4 linked regions of the Notamacropus eugenii genome follow. The protein of the gene in region 1 purifies or fractionates together with the protein of each later gene. This does not show direct contact. Links are inferred from orthologs where the notes say so. Each region holds a gene or a part of one and is shown on either strand. Other genes may lie near its edges. The genes, in order: SLC30A5, SLC30A6, METTL9 and CSGALNACT2.

The links.
Region 2: the proteins of SLC30A5 (region 1) and SLC30A6 purify together in Homo sapiens (co-immunoprecipitation; 5 studies listed by BioGRID and IntAct, with this or other methods). This does not show direct contact. The link is inferred for Notamacropus eugenii from reciprocal best matches to the Homo sapiens genes SLC30A5 and SLC30A6.
Region 3: the proteins of SLC30A5 (region 1) and METTL9 purify together in Homo sapiens (co-immunoprecipitation; 3 studies listed by BioGRID and IntAct, with this or other methods). This does not show direct contact. The link is inferred for Notamacropus eugenii from reciprocal best matches to the Homo sapiens genes SLC30A5 and METTL9.
Region 4: the proteins of SLC30A5 (region 1) and CSGALNACT2 purify together in Homo sapiens (co-immunoprecipitation; 3 studies listed by BioGRID and IntAct, counting the BioPlex papers as one, with this or other methods). This does not show direct contact. The link is inferred for Notamacropus eugenii from reciprocal best matches to the Homo sapiens genes SLC30A5 and CSGALNACT2.

The regions. Positions count from the first base shown.
Region 1 is NC_092875.1:474,546,279-474,553,733, forward strand, and holds the start of SLC30A5 (proton-coupled zinc antiporter SLC30A5), read right to left. Parts: upstream 3,002-7,455; 5' UTR 2,724-3,001; coding exon 2,650-2,723; intron 1-2,649. UniProt on the Homo sapiens protein: Together with SLC30A6 forms a functional proton-coupled zinc ion antiporter mediating zinc entry into the lumen of organelles along the secretory pathway.
Region 2 is NC_092872.1:534,968,437-534,975,918, reverse strand, and holds the start of SLC30A6 (zinc transporter 6), read right to left. Parts: upstream 3,020-7,482; 5' UTR 2,949-3,019; coding exon 2,946-2,948; intron 1,520-2,945; exon of another isoform or gene 1,394-1,519; intron 1-1,393. UniProt on the Homo sapiens protein: Has probably no intrinsic transporter activity but together with SLC30A5 forms a functional zinc ion:proton antiporter heterodimer, mediating zinc entry into the lumen of organelles along the secretory pathway.
Region 3 is NC_092874.1:396,485,703-396,493,721, reverse strand, and holds the start of METTL9 (protein-L-histidine N-pros-methyltransferase), read left to right. Parts: upstream 1-5,011; 5' UTR 5,012-5,848; coding exon 5,849-6,028; intron 6,029-6,262; exon of another isoform or gene 6,263-6,498; intron 6,499-7,225; exon of another isoform or gene 7,226-7,293; coding exon of another isoform or gene 7,294-7,326; intron 7,327-8,019. UniProt on the Homo sapiens protein: Protein-histidine N-methyltransferase that specifically catalyzes 1-methylhistidine (pros-methylhistidine) methylation of target proteins.
Region 4 is NC_092872.1:228,383,645-228,391,192, reverse strand, and holds the start of CSGALNACT2 (chondroitin sulfate N-acetylgalactosaminyltransferase 2), read left to right. Parts: upstream 1-4,530; 5' UTR 4,531-4,719; intron 4,720-5,785; exon of another isoform or gene 5,786-5,804; intron 5,805-7,548. UniProt on the Homo sapiens protein: Transfers 1,4-N-acetylgalactosamine (GalNAc) from UDP-GalNAc to the non-reducing end of glucuronic acid (GlcUA). Required for addition of the first GalNAc to the core tetrasaccharide linker and for elongation of chondroitin chains.

The sequences.
Region 1 (7,455 bases):
TAGAAAGACAGACCTATAGAAGCTCCCTCACACAGTCCATAAAATACCTGTAAAAAATGACTCTGTAGAGCAGCAGAAACCACAAAATGACAAGTAAAAGAGATTTCCAGTCCAAGACAGCCTGGAAGGCGAAGAGGAAAGGTCTGCTGCACTGGGCACGGAGCAAAGCCCAGGCGGCAGAGACAGGACCCAAAACAGGCTTCAGGGTGTGATTAGCAGCAGCTGCAGTCCCAGATTGCTCAATCCACAAACACCACAGACAGTTTCAAAGGTCAGTGAGAGGGCTCCTTCACCCAGGAGAAGGGAACCATTTACATTCCTGCATGGAAAGATAATATTTGTAACTCCTGAGACTTTTCTCAGTATTTGGGTAGTTGGAGGGATTGTGCGTGCGTGCGCGCACACACACACACACACACACACACCACAGTGTGAGTTGAATAAGAAGGGATGATATCTAAAAAAATAAAGAGGTGAGAGAGGAATGTATTGGGAGGAAAAAGGGAGAAATGGAATGGGGCAAATTATCACTCATAAAAGAGGCAAGAAAAAGTTTTTTCAATGGAGGAGAAAAGGGGGGAGGTGAGAAGGAAAAAGTGAAGCTTACTCTCATCCTGTTTGGCTTAAGGAGGGAATAACACACTCACTAAATATAGTATGAAAATCTTCAGGAAAGTAGGGGAGAAGGGGACAAGTGGGGTGAGGGGGATGATAGAAAGGAGGACAAATGGGAGGAGGGGGGTAATTAGAAGTAAACACTTTTGAGGAGGGACAAGGTCAAAAGAGAATAGAATAAATGGGGGCAGGATAAGATAGGGGGAAATATAGTCAGTCTTACACAACATGAATATTATGGAAGTCTTTTGCAAAACAACACATATATCGCCTATATTGAACTGCTTGCCTTCTCAGTGGGGATGGGTGGGGAGGGAGAAAGGAAGAGAAGTTGGAACTCAAAGTTTTAGGAACAAATGTTGAGAATTGTTTTTGCATACAACTGGGAAATAAGAAATACAGGTAATGAGGTGTAGAAATCTATCTTGCCCTAGAAGAAAAGAGAGAAGATGGGGATAAGAGAAGGGAGGGGTGTGACTGAAGGGAGGGCCTATGGAGGGAAGGGGTAACCAGAATGCAAGGGTTATGGGGGGGAGGGGAGAGATGGGGAGAAAATCTGGAACTCAAAATTTTGTGGAAATGAATGTTGAAAACCCAAAATAAATAAATGTTAAAAAAAAAAAAAAAGAAACAGCAGAAAGAGGAGAAAGGCACATCAATGATCCTCTCTAAACCATCTACAATGTGATGACAAAGATGAGCTGTTCCACCCTCCTCCAAATCCATTCCCCCAGATATCAGAAACCCTTTGCCTGACTCCCACAGTCCCAAGCACAGTGGGAAGGCTGGGAATTCTTCCAACTACGTATGAAGTGAGAATGTAGACAGACCTTAAGAGACCAGGCTTTGCTTGAGGTTTCACAGCAGGATTTCTGAGGGGAACACTGCTGGGGCGCTGGAGGGGAGCTGCACATCCCTCGCTGTCCCACTTCCCATCTCCCTCCCATGTCCCACCTCATCTTCCTCTTCTTTGCTACATTTCTTGGTAAAAACTGCTTTCATTCTTAACGCCCCCATGTCCTCCCAGGGTCACCCTGCCAAACACAACCCTAAGGCTCCGAGCCACCTTCTAATCACGAAATCCCGCCCCCTCTGCCCAGTCCTTGTGGACGCCCACACAATTACCGATACAATGTAACAGCGGCCCTCTGACGTCAGCCCTACTAGACACCCAGGGCCCTCTCCTCTGCTCTCCAGCTTTTCAGCCTCTCCCCAGGCCCCAGTGGTCTCTTGGCAGATGCCCTCGCCCTCAGCATCCCCGTCCTTACCGAATTAAAACGTCAACAAGAGATGATTTAACAGATGTACTGTCAGAACTGCTACGGCCACCTTCACGCCCCAACTTATCCCCCGGAGGGTCCGACACGAGGCAGGGGCTCCTCGGACACACCCCCTCAGGATCTCCGTGCCGGCCCCGGCCGCGCCGGCCCTGGAGAACACAGGCCCGCCTGCAGGCCGCGGGGATGCTGTCAGGGGCGAGCCGCACCAGACCACAGGCACATAACGGACGGCAGGCCAGGCCGGGCCGGCTCCCGGGCCCGGGGGAGGCCCCTCCTCTGAAGGAGGGCAGCCATCCCTTCCAGACCAATTAGGGAATAATTAATCGGAAGTCCACGTAGCCCCGGGGCACGCACGTGCACACACACCTCCCAGCACCGGCTGTGCCCCCAGGACGGGCAGCACTCGGGTTAACGGGAAGGGCCCACGGCCGGGGGAGGGTGGCCAGAAGGCCCCTGAGGGCACTGTTCACGGAGGGAGGCCCCGGAAGTTATTGGCCTCTGCCCCCGCAGGGTCACCGGTGGCGCTTCGCCCCGCAAGGGATCGGGGGAGGACGGGCGTCCCCAGTCACGACCAACCACCGGGGACGGGGCAGAAGGTGAAGGAGTGTAATAAAATAAATACGGTAAATCTGGGCGTGGCGACAGCGGAACCCGGGGCCCCAGCCGGGTCCGAGCGTTTTACAGCCCGGGCCGCCGAGGCAGGGCGCGGACGGGGCGGGGGTTCCCCTCCCGGGGACGCCCAGGCGGCACTTACCGGGCGCTGGGCACGTCCACTGGCCCGAGGCTCCCGCCGCCGGCGAGCGCGTGGCTGCCGTATTTCTCCTCCATCCCGCGCGGGTCTCAGGGGCCGCCGCCGCTGTCGCGGGCCCCGCCGCGGCCAGGCCTCATCTCCCGCCGCCGCCGCCGCCGGGCCGGCCCTTCACTCGCCCATGGCAGTTCGCGGCCTCGCAGGCCCTCCCTGCGCGCCTTCGGAGGCCGGCCTCACTAGGCCGCGAGCCGCGGCTCGGGCTGGGGCTTCCGCTCCCGCTCCGGCTCCGGAGGCGCCGGGTTACCTCGAGGTGGCGGCGGCGTGAACGTTACCAGGCCACGTCATCCGGCCGGGCCGGCGGCCTCCTCCCAGTGCGCCTGCGCCGAGGACTAGCTGCTCCCTACCCGCCCTTCCTCCTTCCCCGACCTTCCCTAACTTCCCCTCCCCCTCCTTGGGAAAGACTCAGAGTTACCGGCCCCGCCCGGCCTCCCTACTTTCCCTTTCTACTCTGGCAAGGGGTCACTGTGAGCTAAGGACCTGGAGAGATGGATGGATGATGGGTGGATGGATGGATGAATGAATGGATGGTGGGTGGATGGATGGATGATGGGTGAATGAATGGATGGTGGATGGATGGATGGTGGATGGATGGATGGTGGGTGGATGGATGGATGGTGGGTGGATGGATGGATGATGGGTGGATGGATGGATGATGGGTGGATGGATGATGGGTGGATGGTGAATGGATGATGGGTGAATGGATGGATGGTGGGTGGACGGATGGATGGATGGATGATGGATGAATGGTGGATGGATGGGTAGATGGATGGATGGTGAGTGGATGGATGATGGGTGGATGGATGGATGGATGATAGATGGATGGATGGTGGATGGGTGGATGGATGATGGGTGGATGAATGGATGGGTGGGTGGATGGATGATGGGTGGATGGATGGATGGATGGATGGATGGATGGATGATGGGTGGATGGGTGGTGGGTAGATGGATGCTGGATGGATGGATGGATGAATGGATGTGGGTGGATCGATGATGGGTGGATAGATGGGTAGATGGATGGATGGTGGGTGGATGGATGATGGGTGGATGGATGGTGGGTGGGTGGATGGATGATGGGTGGATGGATGGATGGTGGGTGGATGGATGATGGGTGGATGAATGGATGGGTGGGTGGATGGATGATGGGTGGGTGGATGGATGATGGGTGGATGGATGATGGGTGGATGAATGGATGGGTGGGTGGATGGATGATGGGTGGATGGATGGATGGATGGATGGATGATGGGTGGATGGGTGGTGGGTAGATGGATGCTGGATGGATGGATGGATGAATGGATGTGGGTGGATCGATGATGGGTGGATAGATGGGGAGATGGATGGATGGTGGGTGGATGGATGATGGGTGGGTGGATGGATGATGGGTGGATGGATGATGGGTGGATGGTGGATGGATGGTGGGTGGATGGATGGATGGTGAGTGGATGGATGGATGATGGGTGGATGGATGGATGGATGGTGGGTGGATGGATGGATGATGGGTGGATGGATGATGGGTGGATAGATGGGTAGATGGATGGATGGTGGGTGGATAGATGGATGGGTGGGTGGATGGATGGTGGGTGGGTGGATGGATGGGTGGGTGGGTGGATGGATGATGGGTGGATGGATGGATGGATGGATGGGTGGGTGGATGGATGGATGGGTGGGTAGATAGATGGATGGTGGGTGGATGGATGGGTGGATGGATGGATGATGGGTGGATGGATGGATGGATGGTGGGTGGATGGATGGATGGTAAATGGATGGATGGATGATGGGTGGATGGATGGATGGATGGTGGGTGGATGGATGGATGGTGAGTGGATGGATGGATGATGGGTGGATGGATGGATGGATGGTGGGTGGATGGATGGATGGATGATGGGTGGATGGATGGATGGATGGTGGGTGGATGGATGGATGGATGATGGGTGGATGGATGGATGATGGGTGGATGGATGGATGGTGGGTGGGTGGATGGATGGATGGTGGGTGGATGGATGGGTAGATGGATGGATGGATGGTGGGTGGATGGATGGATGGATGATGGGTGGATGGATGGATGGATGGTGGGTGGATGGATGGATGGTGAGTGGATGGATGGATGATGGGTGGATGGATGGATGGTGGGTGGATGGATGGATGGATGGATGATGGGTGGATGATAGATAGATGGATGATGACTGTGGAAGAACTGAGCAGAATCATACATCTCTAGTATTTATATGACAATGATGAAGTTGGTAATAATAGTAATAACTCGTATCTCTGTAACATGATAATAATGATGATAGCATTTCTATAATAACAGCATTCCCATAATGATGATGATGATGAGAACTAATATTTCTATAACAGTAATAGCAAACATTTATAAAGTATACTAGCACTGTTCTAAGTGCTTTACGATTCTTATGTCATTTGATCCTCATCACAGCCCTGGGAAGTGGGTGCTGGGACCATCCCCAGTTTACATTTGAGAAAACTGAAGCTGATGGAGATTGACTCCAAGATTGGCTTGGCCCAGAGTCACCCAGCTAGTATTTGAGAGAAGATCCCAGGTCCAGCACTCCAACCACTTTGCTGTCTAATCCAGGCCACAACTAAACAGAGCCTCCCCTCTCTGTTATCCCCAGCTTGGGATGGTGAACTTACTGCTCCACATTTGTACAGTGACTTCTTATCCTCCGTTCCTTGTCCCCCCTCTGTGGAGGAGAAAAATCGAGCTGGATCTTGGAGGAAGTTATGTACATAGAAAGATAGAAGTGATGGAATCCTAATAAAGCTGCTCCCAGCCCCAGTATTCCTTATAGGCCCCACTGAACAAAAGGCCCACTGCCCCTACCTAGCCACTCTCCCCACCGCTCAACATCCTAACTTCCTCATATAGGCCTCACTGCTGGCTAGAACGACAGGTGTGTCCATGAGCTCATAGTTCCCACAGAAACAGCAGGCATCTCCACGTAATGGGGTCCCAGCCACTGCCCCCAGACCCATGCCTCATATTTCCCACAGAAATAGCAGGTGTGTCCATGCACTCAACCACAGCCACATCCATCTAGCCTTAGACAGGATCACAGTATTCAGCCAATTAGAAAGCAGCACTACCAGGATGCCTAAGTAGGATGTAGACCCCAAAATAATAGAAGGGACTTTCCCTAAGTAGGCCCCTGTGCAGTAATAGTAAAGAACTGATCTAGATTGAACTTATGACATAGAGAGGCTTATTATAATACCATTATCATATATACATACCCCCCCAAATGAATTTTTCTGTATGTAGTGTGGGTAATCACATGCATACTTCCACTGTCGCTGGGATCTCTCCCCTATTACCTAATCCCTTAACAAACCCCTCCTGAATTTTTAATATTCATAATTTCTGTTGTGTAATTGCATTTTTACCCTATTAAAATTCATCTTGCTTTCCCTGAAGTTACTGGTTCCTCTGGGAACTTAGCCTGCTTCATGAGAGGCGTCAATCTCAATAAATGCCTGTAGTTGGATTTCAGGTGGTCTCACTCTGAATTCTTTAAGACAGTTCCACCACAACACATAACGAAACCCCAGCAGAGCAGTTCAGGTAAGGAAATTTAAAAAAAACCATGGAGGCAATAATTAATAGATGGGTTCCGGCAATGTAAACATATTGGCGTGGCTGGAATGCAGATAAGATTGAAACTCAGATACTCTCATATCTAAGTGGTGCAAAACTATAAAATAAAGGATTTTTCTCTAACATTAAAAAAATATCTACAGAGCCAAAGGGATTCTCCTGTAAGGAGGTCCCTATGGTCTGGATTTAGGTACTATATGTTATACGGGACTTTGAAGCATTTCTGATGAAAAGACCAGAGCTGAACAGAAAATGTGATCTTCAAATGCAAGGCTCAGTGGAAGAATAAAAAGGTAAATAGGAAAGAGAAAACAAAAGGCATTGAGTAAGGTTAAACTGCTTACATCCCTACAGGGGAAGATACTTTTAACTTTTTTAAAATTTATTTTTTTAAATTTATATTTATTTATTTTTAGTGTTCAGCATTCATTTCCACAAGATTTTGAGTTCCAAATTTTCTCCCCATCTCTCCCCTCCCCCTAACCCAAGACACCCTGATTACCCTTTCCCCAAGTCTTCCTTCCCTTCTATTACACCCCTCCCTTCCCTTATCCCCATCTCCTCTATTTTCTTGTAGGGCAAGATAGATTTCTATACCCCATTACCTATGTTTCTTATTTCCCACTTGTATGTAAAAACAATTTTTAACATTTGTTTTTAAAGAATTCCAACTTCTCTCCCTTCCTTCCTCCTCACCCATCCTCACTGAGAAGACAAGCAATTCAATATAGGTTATACATGTGTAGTTATGCAAAAGACTTCCATAAAAGTCATGTTGTGAAAGACTGACTATATTTCCCTCCATCCCATTCTGCCCCCCATTTATTCTATTCTCTCTTTTGACCTTGTCCCTCCCCAAAAGTGTTTACTTCTAATTACCCCCCTCCTCCCATTTGCCCTCCTTTCTATCATCCCCCACACCCCACTTATCCCCTTCTCCCTCACCTTCCTGTAGTGTAAGAAAGATTTTCATAACAAATTGAGTGTGCCTGTTATTCCCTCCTTAAGCCAAATATGATGAGAGTAAGCTTCACTTTTTCCCTCTCACCTTCCCCCTTTTCCCTTCCATTGAAAAATCTTTTTCTTGCCTCTTTTATGAGAGATAATTTGCCCCATTCCATTTCTCCCTTTCTCCTCCC
Region 2 (7,482 bases), on another chromosome or scaffold:
TGGGAATAGCTAAGTCATTTACAATTTATCACTGTACAGCACTGGTGTTACTGTGAACAATTTTCTCCTGGTTCTGCTCACTTCACTTTGCAACAGTTTAAGTCTTTCCAGGTTTTTCTGAAAACAGACTGCTCGTTTCTTTTTTTTTTAAATTTCTTTTCCAATTACATGTAAATGTAGTTTTCAATTTCTGTAAAATTTTGAGTTCCAAATTTTTTCTACCCTCCCTCCCCTACTCCCCTCCCCAAGAGGACATGCAATCCAATATAGTTTATACATGTACAATCATGTTAAACATATTTCCACATTAGTCATGTTGTGAAAGAACAAAAGAGAAAAACCATGAGAAAGAAAAAAAGTGAAAGTAGTATGTTTCAATCTGCGTTCAGACTTCATAGTTCTTTCTCTGGATGTAGTTAGCATTTTCCAACATCCAACAAGGATTCCAACATGGATCATCGTATTGCTGAGAAGAGATAGGTCTATCATAGCCAATCACTGTACAATGTTGCTATTGTTGTGTACAATGTTCTCCTGGTTCTGCTCATTTCACTCAGCATCAGTTCATGTAAGCCTTTCTAGCTTTTTCTGAAATCTGCCTGTTCATCATTTCTTATAGCGCAATAGTATTCCATTACATCCACATATGACAACTTGTTCAACTATTCTCCAATTGATGGGCATCCCCTCAATGTCCAATTCTTTGCCACTACAAAAAGAGCTGCTATACATATTTTTTGTACAAATAGGTCATTTCTCATTTTTCTGGATTTCTTTGGAATACAGACCTAGTAGTGGTATTGCTGGGTCAAAGGGTATTAAATTTAAAATTCTAACTTGGCTACCACAATCGGCCACTTTACTGATACACTCCAATTAAAGAGTTGCCCAAATGCAACATGGAGCGGAGGCATGGAGCTGACAAAAGATTAGAAATCTTGAAACAAAGCTGAGAGACTCTCCTCCATTCAATTAATTCAGTTCAATTTCACAAATATTTACTGAATACCTATGTGCTAGGTACTGTGCTAAATACAAAAGGGATACAAGGACAAAACCAAACAGTTCTCGCCCTTAAGTTTTACTGGGCAAAACAAGTATGTAAAAGTAGAAATCAGTTATTCAATCACCTAGCATTTGTTGAGTACCTATCACGTGCCAGATACCATGTTAAACTCTGGGGATACAAAGAAGGGGGAAGAAAACTCAAGCAGACGTAATCTTCAAGGGAGCAAGCTTCCATGTATTTGTCATTCTGGGTTCCAGTTCTCCCAGAGGGTACCTAGAAACTTTTTAGCATTATACAGATTTAGGATTGGAAGGGACCTTAGAAGCCATTAGATTCAGCCTTTCATTCACAAGTGGGAAAAAGGAGGCACTGAAAATGACTCACCTAGTCACAACCAGAGACTGAAGATAGATGTGAATACAGTTCTTCCTTATTCCAAGTTCATTGTCCTGAATTTCTTCAAGACTCAGCTCAAACACCCTTGAGCCTTTTCTCTGATTATCTCCAGTTAACTATCTATATATTGCCAAAATGGGCAGCTAAGTGGATAGAGAGCCAGCCCTGGGAGTCATGAAGTTATCTTTCTGAGTTCAAGTCTGGCTCGCTGTGTGAACCTTAGTTTCCTCATTGGTAAAATGATCTAGAGAAGGTAATGGCAAAAAACTTCAGTATCGTTGCCAAGAAAACTCCAAATAGGGTTACAAAGAGTTGGGCACAAAAGAAAAGACTGAAATACTGGCAAAAACAAACAGTCCCTGCTCTTGGGCCTTCACCTTCAATTTATTACCTATGTCTGTCTATTCCTCTATCTGCTAAAACAAAAAAGCCCCTGCTCTCAAGCTCACCTTCTAGTGGTGTAGACAACGCACAAACAAGTGTGTGTGTAAATGGGCAGCTAGGTAGTAAGGCGAATACAGTGCCAGGCCTGAAATCTGGAAGACTCCTCTCCTGAATGAAAATCCCACCTCAGACCCTGAGTAACCGTGTGACCCTGGGCAAGTCACAGCCCTGTTTGCTTCAGTTTCCTCATGTGTAATACGGACTGGAGAAGGAATTGGTAAATCGTTCTAGTATCTTTGCCAAGAAAACCCTAAACGGGGTCAGGAAGAGTCGGACACAACCGAAAAGAGAATAGCACTTGCGTGTGCTGTCTCTCCATCATATAACATATATGGCAAACAGGCACACGCATTCTATGAACAAACATGTTCTATCTGTGTGCGGTGCTCAGCAGGTGAGCTTGGGGGCAGGGAGTCCTCGCTTTTGGCCTTTCTTTGCATCCACAGCACCCCAGGACCCGGGACTTGGCAGGCACTTTGTAAAAGCCTCGTGGCTCTTCCTCCCTAGTCATCTCTGGCAATTCACTGGATACGGAGAGATGAATCCTAAGTTTCCGCTGGTATTCCTCTGTGATGTGGAGCACTTAAGCCGGGCACGCGTAAACGCTTGTCTACGCTCTCCTCGTTAGCCGCACTGCTTATTCTGAGAACTTTGCGCCAATGTCCCGGACCGCTCATGCCCTCCGGGGCGGCTCTTGGGCTAGTTATTTTTATATTAAGAGAAAACCAGAGTGGAGCCCCAGGCACCTGTGGGCAGACCAGGGCACTCGGCAGCCACAGGCGCGGGACGTCGACTCCAGCCCGGCGGGCGACCGCAGCTGCGCCCGGGCCGGTGAAGGGAGGGGCCACGGAAGCCTATCCCAGAGCAGCCCGGGACGCAGCAGGCCCGGAGAGACGGCAAGAGAAAGCTGGGCGCGGGGGGAGGGACCTTCCAGGAAGCGGCTGCCGCCTCGCTTCCGGAGAGACAGACGACTGAAGACAGCCGAAATGCCCCCGCCCCGCCTCGCCGGGGCCGCTGTACCGGACAGCGGCCGTTCCGAGCGAGCGCCAGACACCCCACGTCCCGGGCCCCGGCCCGCGGCCCACGGCCCACTCACCATGTTAAGGGGCCCCGCAGCTCCCGCCGCCGGAAGTCGTTCTGCCGCTGGCGGGCAGCGCCCCCCCGCCTCCCTCCGAGAGGAAGGGGCGGAACAAACGCGGGTGATTGGCCGAGGTAGAGGAATCCGGAAGTGAGGAGAGGCTAGATGTCGTAGGGAGCTACCAGGGTGAGAGGGTCGTTGTGGTGAAGTTGTTTGGGAAGCTCTTTAGGCCGAAGAGAGGGAGCTCCTTTCTCATACTCCTGATTACCCAGGGGGCCGAGCGTGCCCGCAGGCTGCTGTGAGGAGCGGACACTTCCCTCGCGCTCTTAGCCTGGAAGTGACTTTCAGGCAGGCTCATTGCCGCGGTTGCAGAAACCATTCAGTGGCAAAGCGGGATTCCCGTTCGTGGTAGACTTTCCCGAAGGCTTTTGGAGATGTCTGTACACGTGTCTTGGGGTGGACTTCTCTGAAAGCTTTGTGTGTGGGGGGAGGGGGGGGGTCTCTGGGTCCTCGTCCGAAGGCTTTCGGGAGAAGTAGCTTATGGTAGGCTTGTCTGAAGGCTTTTGGGGGGAATGCCTGTGTGTGTCTGAGGCTTTTTGGTTGGCATTGCGTTTCCAAGGGAGGAAACTCTCTCCACTCTGTAGGTATGACACCTGCTCTGTGATGTATAATCTCAGGCTGGGTAGCTGGGTGGTGCAGTGGATAGAGCACCAGTGCAGGAGTCAGGAGGACCTGAGTTCAAATCTCACCTCGCACACTTGACACTCACTAGCTGTGTGACCTTGGGCAAGTCACTTAACCTCAAGTGCCTCATCCTGGGTCATCTCCAGTCATCCTGATGAATATCTGGTCACTGAATTCAGATGGCTCTGGAGGAGAAGTGAGGATGGTGACCTGCACAGCCCTACCTCACTGAAAAATAAAAGTCAAGTGCAAGTCACGTCATTTCTCTGATGGCATGGTCTTCTTCGGCAACGAAGGACGAACACATGTAATGTCAAGTGACTTATTATAAGGTCTGTGATTCCCCCACCTAGGGAATTCTGCATCTCCCTCCCCAACTGTGAGAAAAGTTCTAAGCAACCACTTCCATCTTTACCAGCACAGGGCATCTTCTTCTTACTGCCAGTCCAATCCCCTAACTGGGATATGGAAAACCCCCAATTCAAAGAACAACATTCCCCTCAGCTTCAGGCCTCCCATCTCTCCTTGCACCTGTCATTTGAGGGTAGAGGAGTGGTACTCTCCACAACGATGAACATTCTCACACCTGATCATACCCTTCACATCCTGGTAACTTGGAATTCCTGTAGATCGATATCCAAACTGAACTCCACATCCCCTACCACCCAATTCCTTATTTCCATTTCCCTTAACCCTTTTACACCAAAGTTTCATCCTAACCTCACCCTGCACTTCCCCTGTGCTCTCTGGAATGTCTGTTTTGTAGGCATTAAACTTCCTTCATCCTAAATCTTTTCCTCTCCCACTTCTTGCACCTACTAGCTATTATTGAAACCTTCAGTTCAGTCATTTTTCAGTCATGTCTGACTTCATGACTCCATGGGGGTTTTCTTAGCAAAGATACTGGAGTGGTTTGCCATGTCCTTCTTCAGCCCATTTGACAGATGAGACAAGCAGGGTTAAGTGACTTGCCCAGGGGCACACAGCTAGTAAATATTTGGGGCCAGAATTTAATTCAGGAAGACGAGTCTTCCTGACTCCAGGTCTGGCACTGTCTCTACTGTGCCACCTACCTGCCCCAGGATGTTGTTTTACCTGAAACCTGGCTCCCCGCCAAGGACGCAGCCTCCCTGTCCACTTTTTCCAGTAACAGCTGCATCTACACTTATTCTTCTCTGTTCACTGTTAAAGCTTGCTTTTACCTTCACATCATCTCTCATATATGTTGTTTTCACTCACAACCACAATTCTGACTCAAACCTTTGTATCTGCTACCTTGCCTGATTTCAACTCCATGGAACAAGATGCCCCCCATGCTAGGTATCTCCTGGTATTCCCTCCCACCCCCAAATCCTGGCTTTCCTGCCTCTTTTTGTATGATCTATCTTCTTTTATATTATAAGCTCCTTGAGGGCAAGGACTGCTTCCTTTTAGAGTCCTTAGATCTACTGAAGGCTCAGTTCAAGTGACCGTACCTACTCAGGCCTTTCTAGATAGTAAACATTTATTAAACACCTACTGTGTGAACCACGCATTGTGCTAAGCCCTAGAGAGACAAATATGAAAAAAAATGGCCCTGCTCTCAAGGAGTTTACAATCTAATAGGGGAAGAAAACAGATAAAAGAAGGAAAAAGGGGGTAGGCTTGGAGATGGGGAAGGTACCCTGTAGGCAGGGCATAGTGGAAAAGTAAAAAAAAATCCAGAATGAGTACATCAGGGCAGGAAATGTCTTTCCTGTGCCTCCTCCTTAAATAGAGATTAAGAAGTTCATAGTTTCTCCCACTGCTACAAATTACTTCCCCTTCTTCCTTGCCAAATGGCTTGTATATATTTTCTATTTATCTTTGTATTTGTGGTGAGAGAGAATGTTAGTACCTCTTAGTGGGGACTAATTTCGTTTTTGCCTATGTAATCCCAGCACCTGGCACATAGTCTGTGTAAAGTAGATACTTAAGGTGCATAGCTATTTTTTTTGCCTGTGTTGTTATCTACTAACACAAAAACTCCTTGAGGTCAGAGAATATCCCTTAATGTTTTGTCTGTCAGCTCCTAGCAAACTGGAGATGTTTTAAGAAATATTTGTTGAATAAATAAATACAACTTTATCAGGCTTTACAATAATTAAAGGTTTATTTGTTTATTTACTTTTTGTTAAAGCCAGGACCACCAGACCTTGCCCTCTCTCCGCCTTACTGTTGTACCCTGTGGACCACTCGACCTTTCCATTGGCCTTGCAAGACCCTCTTATATGTTTTATTTCACCCATTATTAGAATGTGAGCCTCTTGAGAATTCTAGTGAAGGTGAAGGGACTTTGTTTCTCCAGTTACTATTTATTTCTAGCCCTCATCTCTTGTATTCCAACAGCCTGCTAGAACATCTCCACCCAGATATTTCATAGGCTTCACAAACTAAACAGAACTCATATCAATCACTAAGCACATCTCTTCTTCAAATTTCCCTGTTTCTTTCATGGGCACTGCAATTGTTTCAGTCATCTAGTTTTGCAACACAATGTTATCCCTAGCTTTTTACATTCGTGCAACCCTCACGTTCAGTTGCCAAATCTTTCTGATTTTCCCTTCACAGTATCTCTTATTTTTGCCCTACTTTGGCCATCCACAAAAAACTCTAACCCAGTTGAGAGCTCCATCACCTCTCATTTACCACAGCAATGGCATCCAAAATTTTCTTTCTGCTTTCAGGACTTCCTCTTCTCTAATCTATCCTCCACACTCCTACTTAAAAATCTTCAATGGTTTCTTATTGCTTCCAGGATCAAATACAAAATCCTTAGCCTGGTGCTTAAAACCCTTCTCAGCTGCTTCCATCTATCCTTCCAGTCTTATTTCACATTACTCCCCTTTACACATTTTCCACTCTAGGTACACCAACTTGCTGGCTGTTGGGAAGATGAGACATTGCCCTCTCTAGCCCCTGTGCCTTGGCACAAATAGTCCTATGTATCAGGAATTCACTACCTTTTAAAAAAAAAAAAAAACAAACCTGTTTCAAAGAATCCCTAGCTCCCTTTAAAACACAAGACCTTTTCCTCATTGTGCACTGTCTGCCTTGCCTCCTTAACCCCTTCACCACTAGTACTCTCTTCCTCTCGAAATTACTGAGTAAATAAATAACTGTTCTATCTGAAAAAGTTACTTTGTATTTACTTCTGAACATGTTGTATTCACTTAATTCTGCCATCATCACCATCTCCATAGCATAAGCTCCTTAAAGGTAAAGAATGTTGTTCTTTTATGATCCAGGCCAATAAATTTGAATTGGAGACCAGCCTGAATATACATTATTCTTTGGCCAGGAGAGGATAGTGTCGCATTATAGCTAAAAAGCCTCTCCTGATCTGCAAATGGACTAAGCCTTAAGACACCCAGATGTTTAGGGCAGTCATAATTTCAGTGGTTTTGAATACTGTCAAGGAAAAATACACTAATATTCAAAGAAGGCATCAGTCTAAGAGTCCAGTCAGTTATTACTAATTACAGTTTCAGTGGAAAGAGATGGATTCAAATTCCCTATTGTCTTTATTTCAGGATCTTGCTTTTATTTCCCCCAAAGACTATATAAAGAAGATGTAAACATAAAATCATGCTTATTTTGGAATAAAAAAAAGATCCATGAAAAATTTCCATTTTTATTACATTGCTATAAAAGCACAATGGATGAGAAACCATTGACAAGGCAAAAAATAATTTGAAGATGGTATTACCTCTCATACTTTAAATGTTTTCTAAGTCTAGTCAAAAATATCAACAATGACTATTCCATGCTTTCAGGTTTTTTATTAAGATATAGTTAAGAATGAATGAATGGGAGAAAAAATTAAGTGTATATTAATTGCAAAGTACTGTGC
Region 3 (8,019 bases), on another chromosome or scaffold:
ATACTTCTTGTGCTATTTTTACAGTTTGTATAATATTAGAATTGTTTTTTGAATGTTTGATAGAATTCATTTGTAAATCTATATGATCCACAGTTTTTTTCCCCCTTCAGAGTTGATTTATGGCTTGATAATTTTTTTTTTGAGATTGAAATCCTTAAATCTCTATTTCTTGTTCTATTAATTTGGTTATATGTATTACAACGTAACATTACATTATTATTTTTACCCCAGCTAAAGCAAATTTTTTAACACTTTAAACAAGTTTTGAGCTCCAAATTCTATTTCTCTCTCCTTTCTTCCCTTTCTTTGAGATAAGGTTATTTTATATTTTTTATAAGTATTCATCTATTTCATTTTGTCAGCTTTACTGACATATAGTTGGACAAAATGGTTTCTAATAATATCCTTCATTTCTTGGGAATTGTTCTTTTTCATTTTGATACTAATAATTTAGTTTTCCTTTTTTTTTACATCAAATTTGCTGATGGTTTAGCTATTTTGTTGTTCTCTCCCCCCAAGCAAAAAAAAGATCTTAATTTTATTTATTCATTTAGTGATTTTTTTCCTTTTGTTTTGTTAATCTATTCCTTAAACACCATTTTGGTGTTTAATTTTAAGAAATTTGTTAGTTTTCTAGAGCTTTTAGTTGGATACTCAAGTCATTTATTTGTTCTTTTTTCAGGAGGCAAAGCGATCAGGGTATTTTGTCCACTGACAGCTAATAAGCGTCTAAGGCTAAATATGAACTCAGGTCCTCTTGACTCCAGGACTAATGCTCTATCCACTGCTCCACCTGGAAGCCCCTCTTTTCTGTTGAAGATAGTGCTAAGAGATATACATTTTCCTATAAGGATTGCATTCCAAAATCATTATCTTTTATTGAACTATCTATTGTTTCTGTTTTGTTTTTTGACCTACCTATAATTTAGGATTGTTTCATCTCCAGTTGGTTTTTAATACTCTAATGACCTTTTATTGAATTTAGTTTTTATTACAATATGTAATCCTTAATATTATTAAAGGACACATTTAATATTATTGCTTTTCTGCATTGTAGTTAGGTTTATCTTTTAATACACATTTGATTTTTGTTAAGGTGTCATGAACAGTTAAGAAAATATTTGAACTTTTTTTCTGTTCTCATTCAATAATCACCAGATATTTATTATATCTAACTTTTCTAAAATTCTATTCTAACATATTTTTATTTTTTAGATTTGTTTAGCTCTAGGGATGGGCATATTGAGGATCTCACTATTATAATTTTATTAGCTTTTCCTTTATGTATTTAGATGTTACATCATTTAGTGTCTATATTTTAAGTGTTGAATTCCAGCAAAAAGTTATTTTCTATTTTTGCTTTGTCATAATTGTCACACCTTTTTTTCAGTTTAGTTTCAGCATAATAGATTTTGCTTCAGCCTCTTAATTCTGTGTGAATTCTTATGCTTCAAGTATATCTCTTGTAAACAAGTGTTATTTCTGCTTTTTAAATCATTATGTTCTTCTCTTCAAATTTGCAATTGAATTCATCCCACAATTCACAATTATGATAGTTGTTTATTTCCCTCCATTCTTATTCTCTTAAACTTTTTCTTTTCTTTGTTCCCTATCCCTTCATTATAGATTTTTACCCTTTGTTTCTTTCCTTTTCACTCTCTCGTCATTATTCCCTCTCCAAGTTTAGATTTGTTTTGCAAGATTAATCAGTCCTTTAACCTATGCTCCCTCTTATGTCCCAACTTTCCTTTCTCCTGTTCTCTCTCATATCTATGCTGAGTTGAATGTATTTCTATACCAAACCCTTTATGTGGATGTTTGTTTGTGTTGTGTGTGTTCTGCTCTTTTTAACCAGTTCTAATGAAAGTGAAGTTCAGACGGCACCATTTTCCCTACACCTCTTCCACATTGTATAAACTTTTACCTGAGCATTTCAATTATATGATAAAAAATTTCTTCAAGCTTGTTCCCTTTTCTCCCCCTGTTGCATCCTTTCCTACTTTTCTTTATTTTTTCAAAATTGTCAAAATATAATGAAAACTACCTCTAGGCCCTCTCATTTGACTCCATCATCCTTGATGACACCAAGGTCCTGAAAGGAATTTTATATTATACTCTCCCCCATTAGAATATAAAAAGATAAAATCCCTTCCAATTATCCATTTGTGTTTACTTTTTTATGTTTCTCTTGACTCCTGTATTCATATTTCAAAGTTCCTACTATGCTCTGGTCTTTTCTGCAGGAATTCTTGGAAGATTTCTATTTCTTTGAAGATCCATTTTCTTCCCTTGTAGCTTTATATTCAGTTTTTCTTGGTAAGTTATCCTTGGTTTTTAGGCCTATATCTTTTGCCTTTTGGAATGTTGCATTCCATGTTCTTCACTCCTTTACAATCATAGCTCCTAAATCTTATGTGATCTTCTGAATGTCGTTCTTGAATTCCTTCTGGCTGTTTTCAACACTTTTTTCTTTCACTTGAAAGTACTGGGTTTGGACAATGACATTACTGGGAACTTTCATTTGGGAGTTTCATCTTCCAAATGATTAGTGATCATTTTGCTTTATTGATCTGTTTGGCCAGCTTTCTTTTATGATTTCTTGAAATATATCATATTTTTGGTCATAGCTTTCAGGTAGCCCACTGATTTACAAATTATCTTTCCTTGATTGGTTTTCCAACTCAATTGTTTTTGAAATGAGACAACTCAATTTTTTTCCTATTTTTTCAATCTTTTCAATACTGCTTATTATCTCCCAGTCATTAACTTCTATTTGGTGCTTTCTAATTTTTAGGGGAGTCTGTTATTTGAGTAGGGTTTTATGCCTCTCATGTTAAATTGTAGTTGTCTTTCAAAATCTTCCATAGCTTTCATTTCTTTTCCACTTTTTTCTTTATCGATTTAATTTGATTTATAACATTTTAAAACTCTTGAATCATTTCTTCTAGGAATTCTAATTGATTTTGTGGGCAAGTTGTGTTTTTCTTTGAGACTTTGGTTATAGGTGTTTTTGAGTTATTTTTCTGGGTTTGTATCTTAGGCACTTCAGGAAACATAATTATTCTTTCCTTTTTTTCTTCGTGGGCTTACTTGTTTTTCATATTGATGTGCTTGGTACTTTTTTTGAGGTAGCCCAGTCCTAGATTAACCTTATTAAGGAAAGTCCTTTCTTTTACCTCAGAGGTCTTTCTTTTGCCTCCAAGGCTTTCCTTGGCCTTTGACTGAACTCTCCTTTCCCTCAAGGGATAATACTAAGTTAGGATCCTTCCTTCAGTCTGCCTTTTCTTTTGTCCCAGAAACTGAGATATCACCTTATCTTTGGGGAGAGGGGTTTTTCTTTAATCTTTAATCATCCCCAGCTCCAAGAATAAGGAGAATTGAGGGCTGGGGCTTTCCTCCAAATAATGGCTGATTCTTCCACAATGTGCTATTCCCCTTTATTTTTTCCAAGCAACCAGCACTGAGACTTTTTTTTCTTTCCATAGATGTGCTGAAGCCCTTCACTTCATAGTGTAGTGGACCCCCTCTCTAGGCGATCCAATTCCGTCAAGTCCTATAATTGTAAGAGAGAGCTAAGCTTCACTACTTCCTTTTCCTCCAACATCTTGACCTTCTATTACATTTACTTTTAGCTAAGATTAAATGTATTTTTAACTAAAACTAAATATTAATTTTTAGGGCAGTTAGGTGTCCCAACGGATAGAGCACCTGGCCTGAAGTCAGGAAGATTCATCTTTCTGAGTTCAAATCTGGCATTTACTAGCTGTGTACAGATGTTCAGTAAGTTACTTAAGCCCTATTTGCCTGAGTTTCTCACCTGCCAAATGGGAAGACACTCGAAAAGGAAATGGCAAACCACTCTAATATCTTTGCCAGGAAAACTCCATGGACAAGTCCAAGAGGTCACTTGAACAATAACAAAATATCAAATAGGGTCTTTAAAAACCCTGGAAAGGAATTCTTATTAAAGAAAAATTTCAGACTTTACTAAAATTGGGATACCTTGCTCACAGCAAGATAATGGAATCAAGGGGCAAAATGAGACATGTTTTCGGACATGGCCAATGCAAGAACATTTTGCCTGTATTTTTCACAAGGACTTAGTTTTTCTTTTTCTTCTTTTTTCTCCAATAGAGGAGGTAACATGGAAGGAAAGGAAAATAAATTTTTATTTGAAACAATAGTTTTTAAAAGGTTTTAGTAGTATTGTAGAGATACTCTATTGTGGAGAGAACTTTTTACTAGTGATTTAATGCTAGTGCCTTCTAAAATGATCTTCTATATAATACCTTTCACCCCATCTGACTACCAGCTCCTTAAGGTCAGGGACTTTTAAAAGTGCTTTTGTTTTGCCTTGGCTTAGCACAGTGACTAACACACTTTCAGTTCAGTCGTTTCTGACTCTTCATGACCCACACTGCAGTGGTTTGCCATTTCCTACTCTAGCTCATTTTACAGATGGGGAAACTGAGGCAAGCAGATTTAAGGGTTGCACGGCTACTGTCTGAGGCTAAATCTGAACTCAGTAAGATAAGACCTCCTGACTCCAGACTCGATGTTCGATCTGCTGGTTTACCTACCTTCCCAACTGACTTATAACAGGTGGGTTGACGACCTTAAAGAGAGAAACACCTTATGATTCTTTGGGGAAATAACAACAATTAAAGAAGGATGTGGACCCTTTCACGCACACAAGACGGTCTGTAGGTTCAAGTGACAAGCGGCTTCCTGTCTTTACCCTCAAGTGTCCCGGCGGGTTCCAACACCCAGCCTGAGGTTCCCCAGTTTGGAGGGCACCCTCAGGCTTTAAGCGGGGAGAAGCCATCGTTCGCAAGCCCTAGGCAGCCTCCTTGAAACGCGGTGGAAGAGACGGGTGAGGGCGGTCGCCCCTTGTGCCAACCCTAGACCCCAGTGCCAACCTCAGGGAGCTCTGCGAGGGGAGAGGGTGAAAGCTTTGGTTTGTCTGGCACCTGCCTGCGAAGACCAAGGAGCAAAGAGTGGAAGCAGGCGACTACCCCTAGGACAGATGAACGAGAAAAGGGCAAGTTGGACAGCGCTGTCCGCGGGACAGACCCCCGCCTAAAGCCCCGGCCGGCATGGGCCGCGCAGGCGGAAGTGGGGGCGGTCCGCCCCGGCCCCTGCCCCGGTTTCTGAGGGGCAGAGGAAGAAGTGAAAAGGGCTTGAGTACTACCGTGCCTTCGGGAGCCGACAGCGCGCCTAACGCCCGCTAGGGCCCACTGTGCCGGGCCGTGCGCCTGCCTTTCCTTCCTCCGCAGCCACTACACAATGGGCCCGAAAGGGTTTAGCGTGGGGCTAAGAGGGGCCCCGCTGGGCAAGCAAGCGCGCTCCCGCGGCCTCCGTGCGCGAGCCCGCGCGAGCTGATTGGTTGAGGAGGCGCTTCCGGTGCGCGCACTGCGTCCGCGTCCGGCTTCGAGCCGGAGACCAAACGAATCCAGTAACCACGACTGGGGAGCCACGGTGTGCCCCTAGAAACGCGCTCCGGGCGGAAACCGCCACTGCCGGAAACGGCGTTCCGCCGAAAGAAGGAAGAGGGGCAGGGGTGTGGGGGAGGACTGAGGGGAGGGGAGAAGAAGGGGAGGGAGAGGCGGGCTGGGGTGTTCGCCGGCCGCTTCTCCCCACCCCCCGCCGGAGCCTCGGAGGGGCTGGATGGGTAAGTTGGGCGCGATGGAGAGAGTGGCCGCGGCGGGCGGCAGCGGCGGCGGGGGCAGCGACAGCGACGGCGGCAGCGGCAGCAGCAGCAGCAGCGGCGGCGGCGCCTCCTTCTCGCCTCCTTCCCGGCGGGGCTGAGCCGCGGAGCTACCCCGACCCCGCCGCCCCGCGGCCCCCCATGAGACTGTTCCTGGGCTGGCTGGGCTTCACCCTGGTCTCGCTGTGGCTGGCGAGGAGGATGTGGACGGGCACCGGCCGGTCCCTGCGGAGTCCCCTCGCCCGCTCCCTCTACATGAACATGATGAGCGGCGGCCCCGGAGAGCCAGGCGCCGCGGGCGGCCGGAAGGACAACCACCAGGTGGGGAGGGGCGCCCCGCGACCCCCGGGCGGCTGTCGGGGGGGGTGGTGCGTGTGCCCGGGCGGGAACCGGGGGAGGGGACCGGGGGAGGGAGGGGAGGGGGCGCAGCCATTGTGAGGGCCGGGGGTGGGGGCACCCGGTCAAGTTCAACCCCGCCCCCCGCCGCCGGACCGAGGAAGGGGCGGGCCCTGCCCCCGCCGCCGCTCTCCCCCTCCCCAGAAAGTTTGACGAGCCGACTCCAGACTTCCCACGGGATACCGGCCGCCTTCCCCCGCCCTTCCTCGGAGCGGTTATCCTCCCATCCCCCCAAAACTTGGACCCCTGGCAGCACCCTCCTGTGCACACACACTGCTCCCCTTCCCAAAATTCGGATCGGCCCCCCCATTTCCCTCCTCGCGCACACGCAGACACACACCCTCTCTGTCCCCCCCTAACTCGGACGTCCCCCACTTGCGGCGCCCTCCGTACACGTAGGTACACACAGACCCCTCCCCCTCCCCAAACTCTTAATGCCCGGACCCAAACCCTCAGTACTAGCCCCAGGCCCCCTGCTGGGAGGGGACCTTTTGTTAAGGAAGAAAGTGGGTGTTTGGCTGGCTGGAGACGTTGGCCTGCGCAGAAGAAAAATGGCCTTTTCTTCCCTTCTGCCACCCCCTCTCCTCTCGTCCTTATCTCGGCTTGGCCCCCCTCCGCCCTGCCCCACTCCCACTCAGCCCAGCACTGCCCGCGCTGCCGTCCCTTCCCCCCTCTGTGGTTCCGAGGCTGGAAGGAGGGAGTAGGTGGTATGTTTACTGTGAGGGCTTCGCCCCCCGTTCACTTTGGGGACCCAGGTATTCCCAAGCGCGGCCTCCCCTCTCAGGTTGTAAGATTGGAACTAAGGGCCGGGGCGCTGGAGCCTCCCCTGTCCAGGCCGCTGTCCTTGTCGTATTCCCGTAGTGTGGTTTGGGGTGTGATTCCTGAGGGGCTGAAGACTGCGGGGTTTCAAGAAACTTCAGCAGTCCAGCGTGAGCCACAGAACGCAGCACTTACTCTGGGAACGCTTTCGGACCGTGTGTGTTCTGAAATACGTGTAAAGGGCTTGAGACAATGCAGTCTCCTCTGGAAAAATGAGAACTCGTTTAAACTTCAGTATACGTGTTCGCCAGAGGCATTGTGAGAGGGAGAAAGGCGAAGTTATGGAAATGAGGCCTCTTAAAAGAACTCTCAAGTGCGTTTTTCAGATTTGTGTTCAGTATGACCTCTTACTGGCTGACACCGACTGGTGAATGGAACTGAAGTCTTTAAGATTTGCCTATATGGTGGGGAGAAGTTAACATTGCACCTATTTTAAAAAGAGCCCTTAGAACCCTTCCAGAGATATTATTGATAAGTATTAGGTAGACATCTTTTTGTCTGTTAAAAAAAGTTGCCAGTGTAATAAGACATCGTTGTTTTATGGTGTTGTAATTTACTATCTTGTCCTTCCTTGTCATATCAGGGAAGGAGTGTAAATAATTTTTATTAAAGGCATTTGTACCCGGGTACAATTTTATTTTCCTCACTGAAACACATAAAAGAATTTTGTGAAAAAGTAGATTGTGGTCCCTGACTGATGAAGCAGCTCTCCAGAGAAAGATGTGCATCTTTGACTTCTAATATTTGATTTATCAAGTATTTGTAATGATTATTATTTTTTTAAAGATGAATTCTCTTTTTAAGTCCTGGTTATCCCATTTTCATTGTTAGGTGATTACCATAGGCAGGAAAAGTTAGGATAGGTACTTCTTAAATTGCAAAACTATAATTATTGGTAGTGATTGACCTTTTTTTCTTAAAAAGGATGGTCTACTGACTACAGTAAAACTGTTAAGTACTATATGGATGACTGCTCTGGAAGCATGAATAAGGTAGAGAATTATGAAATAGAAATGACAGACAAGTGATAGTGCCTTAGCACTAGGTAGTTGTGGATGAATCTCTTAGGCTTGGCATGTTTATAATAACACTTGTAA
Region 4 (7,548 bases), on another chromosome or scaffold:
AGTTTTTAACTCATCCTGGCTATGTATTTTTACAACATTGTTGCTTTTGTAGAAATGACCCTGCAGAAAGAAGAGTTATAATTGTTCTGCTCCAAAGGAAAAAAAAAACATTTCTTGATGCAATATAATGACTTAAAAAGTGTACTTGTGTAGCTGGTCAGTTTCTCTAAGATATTTATTTTTCTTTCTATACCATGAGTTCACGGGATTGTAAAGTTTAGAGTGGGGAAGTTTCCTTAAAGATGATCTAGTCATAGAGTCATTTTAGGAATAAGTAAACTGAGACCCAAACAGCCCTCACCACCATGTAAAAGATGAAGAAAATGAAGTGTGGGGAAGTAGTAAGTAGCTGCTACATAAATAGTATGAAGTTAACCCAGTAACTGCTATACCACTTGATTTGTATATGTTCTTCTTTCCCAGATAGACATTTTAAGAAAATAGCATGGTGTCTCGTTAAGTTGTTATATGTTGAATATGTATATATTAACACAGACATATATATAGCATATGTATGTTTTAATCATGGGAAAAGCTAAAAAGACAGAAAATGATTAAGTAGCGAGTTTTATGACTGAGCTAAGACCATTGCTAGTCTAAAAGCAAAGAAAAGTAACCTTGGTGCTCTGATTTCATGTCATGTTACTTAAGTAAAAAGGCATTTGGCATGTTACATTTTGTGGTAAGAAAGGAGGGGAGTGAAAGGAAAAAATGGGTAATAATAAGAGCAAAGAAAATTCAGGCTAGTGCAGAAGCTAATTGGTTAAAAGAAAAAATAAGAAACTTCAAAACAGAAGGGAAATAAAACAATATTTTCATAAGACTGGAATTCTATATAGTATATTAAGAAGTTAGATTTTTAAAATCCTTAAAAATTAAAGCAGTCTAACTTCTTAAATTTTATTCAATGGAAAGATCTTATCCCATTTGACTTCTACAAGATGAAAATTAGTCTCACTGTTCTTATTAAATTATAATTAACCAATGACCCAAGAAGCAAAAAAGGGCAGTTAGTCTAACAATTTCACTTGGATGAATGAGAGAGTCATTAGAGTAAAGTTTGGATCTGTCCTTCAATTTTGTGTACTGATTACTTGCCCTCAGGTCAGATCATGGTTTACTGATCTACGAATCATTAAAAATTGTTCATTGTTGGCAAGCACAGCCTAGAAGAGAATTTTATTAATAGAAACTGGAAGAAGAATTAGATTTGTCAACAGTGGCTGAGTGTAGCCAACCCCATGACTTTGTTTCTACTGTTAGTGGATTTGCTTATGGAAATGTTATATGACTGACTGATGTGTTTCTTTTATGTAAAATGCAACTTAAATTCATATACATGTATATACACATATGTATATATAAACACATATACACATATATTAGTAAATATTGTGCTCTTTTGTTTCAACTTCCTAAAGAAACTAACTGCTCTAAATTTTAGCTATGGTTTCCCCCAGCCCCTTCTCCCTACTCTTCCCCATTTACCAAATCTTGCCAAGGAAACAGGTTTCAACGTTGCCATGAATTCTGTTGATAGATTAGTTCTTTCAGACAATGCTATACTTCCATGAGGTCACCATGCCCCTGAGTTTGTTCCTCAGCTTTACAGATTCAGAAAACATATTTTATCAGTTCAGCAGAAGGTGATCAAACTTTAGACAGTTAAATCATGTCAAGTAAAGTTGTGAGAGATCAACTATTAAACCAGAATGCCCATTTATTCATGCAGAAAAGACACACACACAGACACACACACAGACATAGACACACAGACACAGACACACACTCACAGACACACACACACACACACACACACACACACACACACACACCCAGGTTAGGATCTTGCTAAGCAGCTCTCCATGTTGACTGATTAAGCCCCACTAAGGAGACCAAATCTTAGATTAGAAGGTTACTTGGAGAACACAGAATTAGGGCAAAGGGAATTGACTCTTACTAAGGAATATTTCCATCAAGCTAAGAAGGGAACCTGATGAATTACAAGAAAGACCAAACATAACAGTTATTAAGGCCCTACTATATATGTCATACAATCCCTGCCCTTAAGGGGAAGAAATGGTCTTTGTCCTCAAGGGATTTACAGGAAGATAGGAACATTATAGCTTTAATACTCAATATCACCAAAGTGCATTAGAGAGTAACAAAAAAAGTAATATGTGCAATTTTAGAGGAATTATTTTTTGCAGGTTTCAGTAGTTTTCCTGGAAAAGGTGACATTTGACTTGAGTTTTAAAATTTTGGGTAGGATTTTCACAGTAATTTCATAGGGGAGATGGGCATTATAATGACAGGGAACAGAGTGAATAACAGAAAGGAACACTGTTCCAGGGGCACAGAGTAGTCCAGCTTGGCTGGAGTGTAGAGTACCTCGAGGGTAATATCTAAAGCTGAAAAGGTAAGGTAGTCCATTGAATTCTAAGCAGAAGAACTTGATGGGCACTAAATGTGCATTCCCATTCTCCTTTTTGTAGCCTCTATGAGAAATACAATCTTTCTGCTTGGACTGGTCATTGCACAGTCTCTCTTCTTAATTTGTTTTGCATTTATACTGGAAGATAATTTTTCAATGATTAGAGTTTGGCTATTTCCTAATGACATGTAGGGAAACCTCCATAAATTTACTAGGAAACATTCTCTAAATCACTGCAGGAAGGGTACATATAGTGAATAATGAATGATGTGTGGATTCCTATTGGCTTTTCTCACAACAAAGGTATTACTTCTTTAATTCGTGCCTTGTTCATGGGTTTCATCTTACTTTAAGACCTTTTAAGATCTTTTGCCCAGTGACTAGTGTCCCAAGAAAAATTTTAGTACCCCATTCAAAATCCTACAACTGATAGAAACTTTAAAAAAAAATCAGAAAAGTGATATAAGATGAATACCATTCACTTCAAACTTAGAACCATTAAGACATTTTCAGGGTTGATCATTTATACTTTTTACTTTCTGATGGACTCAGCCCTTTTTAAGATGATCAGAAGTCCACTGATTTTCAGGACTAGGTAGTAAGAAACCTTTTACTCTTGGAAGGATCTCTCATAGCAGATGATCATAGGTTTAGAGCTGGAAGAATCCTTGAAGGTATCAAGTCCAAGACCTTCATTTCTTTAGAGGGCCCTAAAAGTCAATAGATTATTCCAGGACAACACAATTAGTGTCTAAAGTGAGATTTGAACCTACGTGTTCCTAATAACAAGTCTTGCGCTATATACATTAAAAACCAGTCTAATTTTCAGAGACTAAAGGAATAGTTAGGTGGTGTAATGGATAGAGAACTGACTTGGAGTTGTGAGGATCTGAGTTCAAACGTGACCTCAGACAGCTTGACACACCCTGTAAATTATTATATCCTGGTCCAGTCCAGGATGTCTATGAGAACTGCCTTTAGTCTAGCATGTTAAACCCTGCTTCTTAGGAGAGGGGGCTTCCATACGCATACATTATTTTCCTCACTCTGAAATTAAGCTCCTTGAGGATAAAAAAATCAAAACAAAAAACAAAACCCTCACTCTGTCCTGACTCTCCTGTCTCTAAGCCTGCTCTGTTTGGCTCCAGCCACCCACAGGTTAGAGGCTGAATTCGGTCCAGTTGTTAGGAACTTGAGCTAGACCCCCAAGAACTGGCACGATTTAGATCAAGTCTTCTGAGGAAACAACTCGTCAAATCCTGCCTGGTAAAATTACAGGACCTACAAGGGAGGTAGATAGACTATGTAGAAAAGAGCCCAAAGGGCAACTGATTAGATAGATAGAAATATGTTTCAGTTTATATATGTATACATCCATACATATACATCCATATATGTGTGTGTGCATATACCACCATGAGGACATAAACTTAGCAAACAAATGTCCAACTTTTCCCTTCTCACCACCTGTCTTTATCGCTCTCGGTGAAGTTGGGGATGGTGAATGGGCTGCCGAGTGTTGGGACGTGAAGTGCAAGCCTTCTCTCTCTCTCTCTCTCTCTCTCTCTCTCTCTCTCTCTCTCTCTTTTCTCCCACTCCCGCTTTGCCTCGCCCTTCCCCTGTCTGTAATTCCTTGCTCTTTCTCCTTCCTCTCCTTTTTTTCTTTCTCACTCCTTTTCTCCCCCCTCTCCTTCTGTTTCACCTACTTTCTCCCTCCTCCCTTCTCTCTCCCTCTTTTCGGTCACTTTCATCTCTCTCCCTTTCCTGCCCCGCTCTCTCTTTTTCCTCTCTCTCCCCTTCCTCCTTCCTTCTCTCTCCTTCATCTGTCTTTTTCTTCCTTTCTCCCTCCTCCCTCCCCACTTTCTCGGGCCCCCGCTCCTCCCCTGCCCTCCCCTCACTGGGCGGTTGACAGCAGGGGGCGGGAGAGGAGTGTGGGCGCGGCGGGGCTCCGGGCCTTGTTCTGGAGCCGGGCTCCCCGGGCGCCGGCGTAGGCGTGGGGGAGGGGGCAGCGCGCGCAGGACGCCGGGCCCGGGCGGTGGCGGCGCGGGCGGGCGCGCGGCGGCCTCATTTCCTCGCGCACACAGGAAGTGGCCGTTATTCCGGGAGGCGAGGGGGCCGAGGCTGAGGGTGGCGCGAGGAGCTAGGGTGGGGGGGAGGAGGCGGAGGGAGTGGCGCCTCCGGCCCCGCGGCGGGGGCTCTGCAGCAGGGCTCCCCGCGCCCGCCCGCAGGCTCCGCCGCTCTGCCTCGGGGCATGTCCTCGGCCTCCTCCCGCTAGGCTGGCTGTGGTGAGTACCGCGCTCTGCTTCGGCGGGCTGACAGCCCGGCTCCCGGCTCCGGCCCCGGCTCCCGGCTCCGGCTCCCGGCTCCCGGCTCCGGCTCCGGCTCCCGGCTCCGGCTCCCGGCTCCGGCTCCCGGCTCCGGCTCCCGGCTGTCTCCCGGCCCCGGCTCCGGCTCTGCGCGCACGGACTGACTGCGGGCTGGTGCCGGGAGCTCGGCTGCCCCGAACCATTGAAGCCCAGGCTAGGGGCGTGCGTGCCGGGCACCGCTTCTGCCCTCGCCTCGAGACTATTTTATTTTACTTTTGCAGTAGAAAAACATTCCTTGTCTATTTCTCTCTCTCCCCCGTTAGAAGCCCCAGTGCCCACCCTCCTCCGGATGATTTCTGTTGCGGAGTCATTTCGAAAGAGCCTGGGCTCCTGGGTGCAGGGCTGGGCTGGGAGTCTGGAGAGCAGCGGGGCTGCCAGCGGAGGAGTGGTTTTTGGAGTGTTACTGTTTCTTTCCTATCGCTAGGCTTTCCTCCCCACACTCTCCCCTTGCTACACTTTGCAAGCTATTTGGTGATAAACTGTTACTACCATGAACAACATTTTGCTATTCGTTGAATACAATGTTGCATTCTCTTCTAAACAACTCAGAAACTACCTGAACAGTTAGTTAAAAATAGCTTATTTTAGAGTTTGGAGAGTTGCTCCCCACTTTTTTTTTTATTTCAAGAGTTGAAGACACTGGTTGAAGTTAGCAGGGGGAGAGGAGAGAAGACTTTTGTGTGTGTAGATCCAGAACTAAGTCCTGCTCCAAAGCCTTAGCCCTTCTTATCGTGGAGGAGACCTTGGTTCTCCAAAGCGAGGAGCCTCCTTCTGATTGGTGTAGAGGAGACCCTGGTTTCTTGGGAGACGGACTGGCTAATTGGTCCTCCTACAGCTGGTATGCTGCCCAGAGTGTAGCTCCTGGTTGATGGAATGTTTGTCTTTGGAGGATCATGCTAGCGATGTCGCTTAGCAGTTCATCACCAGGTTTGCTGCAGGATGGCCTCAGCGAATATTGAAGACCTTTCAGTAAGTCTTTTGAGAGATTGAAGTGATGGAGGCAGGTAAGTGGCATGGTAGATTGAGCTCTTATCTGGGCCATTCACTTCACACCTCTCTGCCAGAGTTTTCTTTTTCTTTAAAATGGGGATAATCCATTCAAGTTGCCAAATCTTGTATATTCTTATTACAAGTCGTCTCTGGTTTTTTTCACTTCCTCACTAGGTTGTTACTGTGGTAAACAAATAGCTTTAAAAACCTTAAATTGCTGGTGCAAATGTTATTTTGTTGTTGTGGTTGTTAGAACTGCCTGTCTAGAAAATCACAGGTCCTTCTTGTGAAGGAAGCTGTTTAAATTTAGGTGATGATAGAGTATCTTGATTAAGCATCTGTTAGTATTTTAAAGTTTGATTTCATATTGATTATTACAGACCGAATTTAAAAGAATTGTGCAATGTACATTTTAACTTTCTGAGAACTTACGGTGGCTTTGTCTTACTTCTTGTGTACCAAGATGAATTCCATTTTCAGTCATGTTTTCCTTGTAGCGCATCATTAAAGATAATAGCTCAGAATGTGAAGAGGAAAGTTAATTTTTCTACACGAAGTAAAATGTGAGGGTGTATATGATAGTCTGTTAATCTCAGTCATTTATTTTGTGCTTTGTTTTTAGTTCTTAATTAAAATAGTGGATTGTGACTTGAAGGTCCTTCTGAGGGTTGCTTTCCATTATTTATTTGTGGCTTAGAGAATGTTAATAATGATGAATAAGAATGGTCTCATTTCCTAATCCAGTCCTAGCTCAAAGTTGTGTAAAACTGGGATCTCCAAACTTTGGATTGCATACTTCTGTTAGTTAAAAAAGAATTGAGTTTGCAACCCCAGCGTATGTGCATGTGTGTATAATATTTTTGTGCTTGAGTCATTTTCCAGTCTCGTCGGACTCTTTGTGAACCCATTTGGGATTTTCTTGGTAGAGATACTGGAGTGGTTTGTCATTTCCTTCTCCAGTTCATCGTACAGATGAGGAACTGGAGGCAAATAGGTTTAAGTGATTTGAACTCAGGAAGATGAGTCTTCTGATGTCAGGCCCAACACTCTATCCACTGTGCCCCCTAGCTGTCCCATACATTCACACAGACATATACACACATATACGTACATATATATGTACAGTACACACATACATGTGCGCATGTGTACACACAGACACATCTCACATACCTGTACTGCCATAACATACAGCTATTACTACACTGTTGCAATAATCAAATATGAGGTGATGAGGGCTTGAACTGATGTGATGGCTGTATGTAGGGAGGAAGAGATGTGCCAGTAGAATGACAAGATTTGACAACTGAGTGGATAGTTGGGGTTAGAGAGAGTGAGGAGTTGAAGAGAATTCTTATATTGCAAACCTGAATGAAAAAAAGGATGTTGGTGTCCTTGATAGAAATAGGAAAGTTTGGAAGAAGATTCGAGTTGTGGGGAAAGAGAACTACTGAAGCCTGAGATGTAGATCACAACCTGTCTGTCCATGCCTGTTTGTCCTATGAGACTCTGGCTTTCACACCTAAATCGTAAAGGGGGAAGGACAGGGCTCCTACCAGCCAGTGCCTAGAACTCAGAGCCTGTCCTTGAAGCAGAGAATCCATCACAGCTGCTGTATAGTGATCTGGAGAAAAGAGAGTGGGTGATGGTTTTCCAGTGGTACTTGTGGAACTGGTGTTGTAGGTGCCTGGATAGTGATTAGGTTATAGCTGTCCTGAGGGGCAGAATTTCTGCTTAAAAGAGGGACAAGAAGTTGGG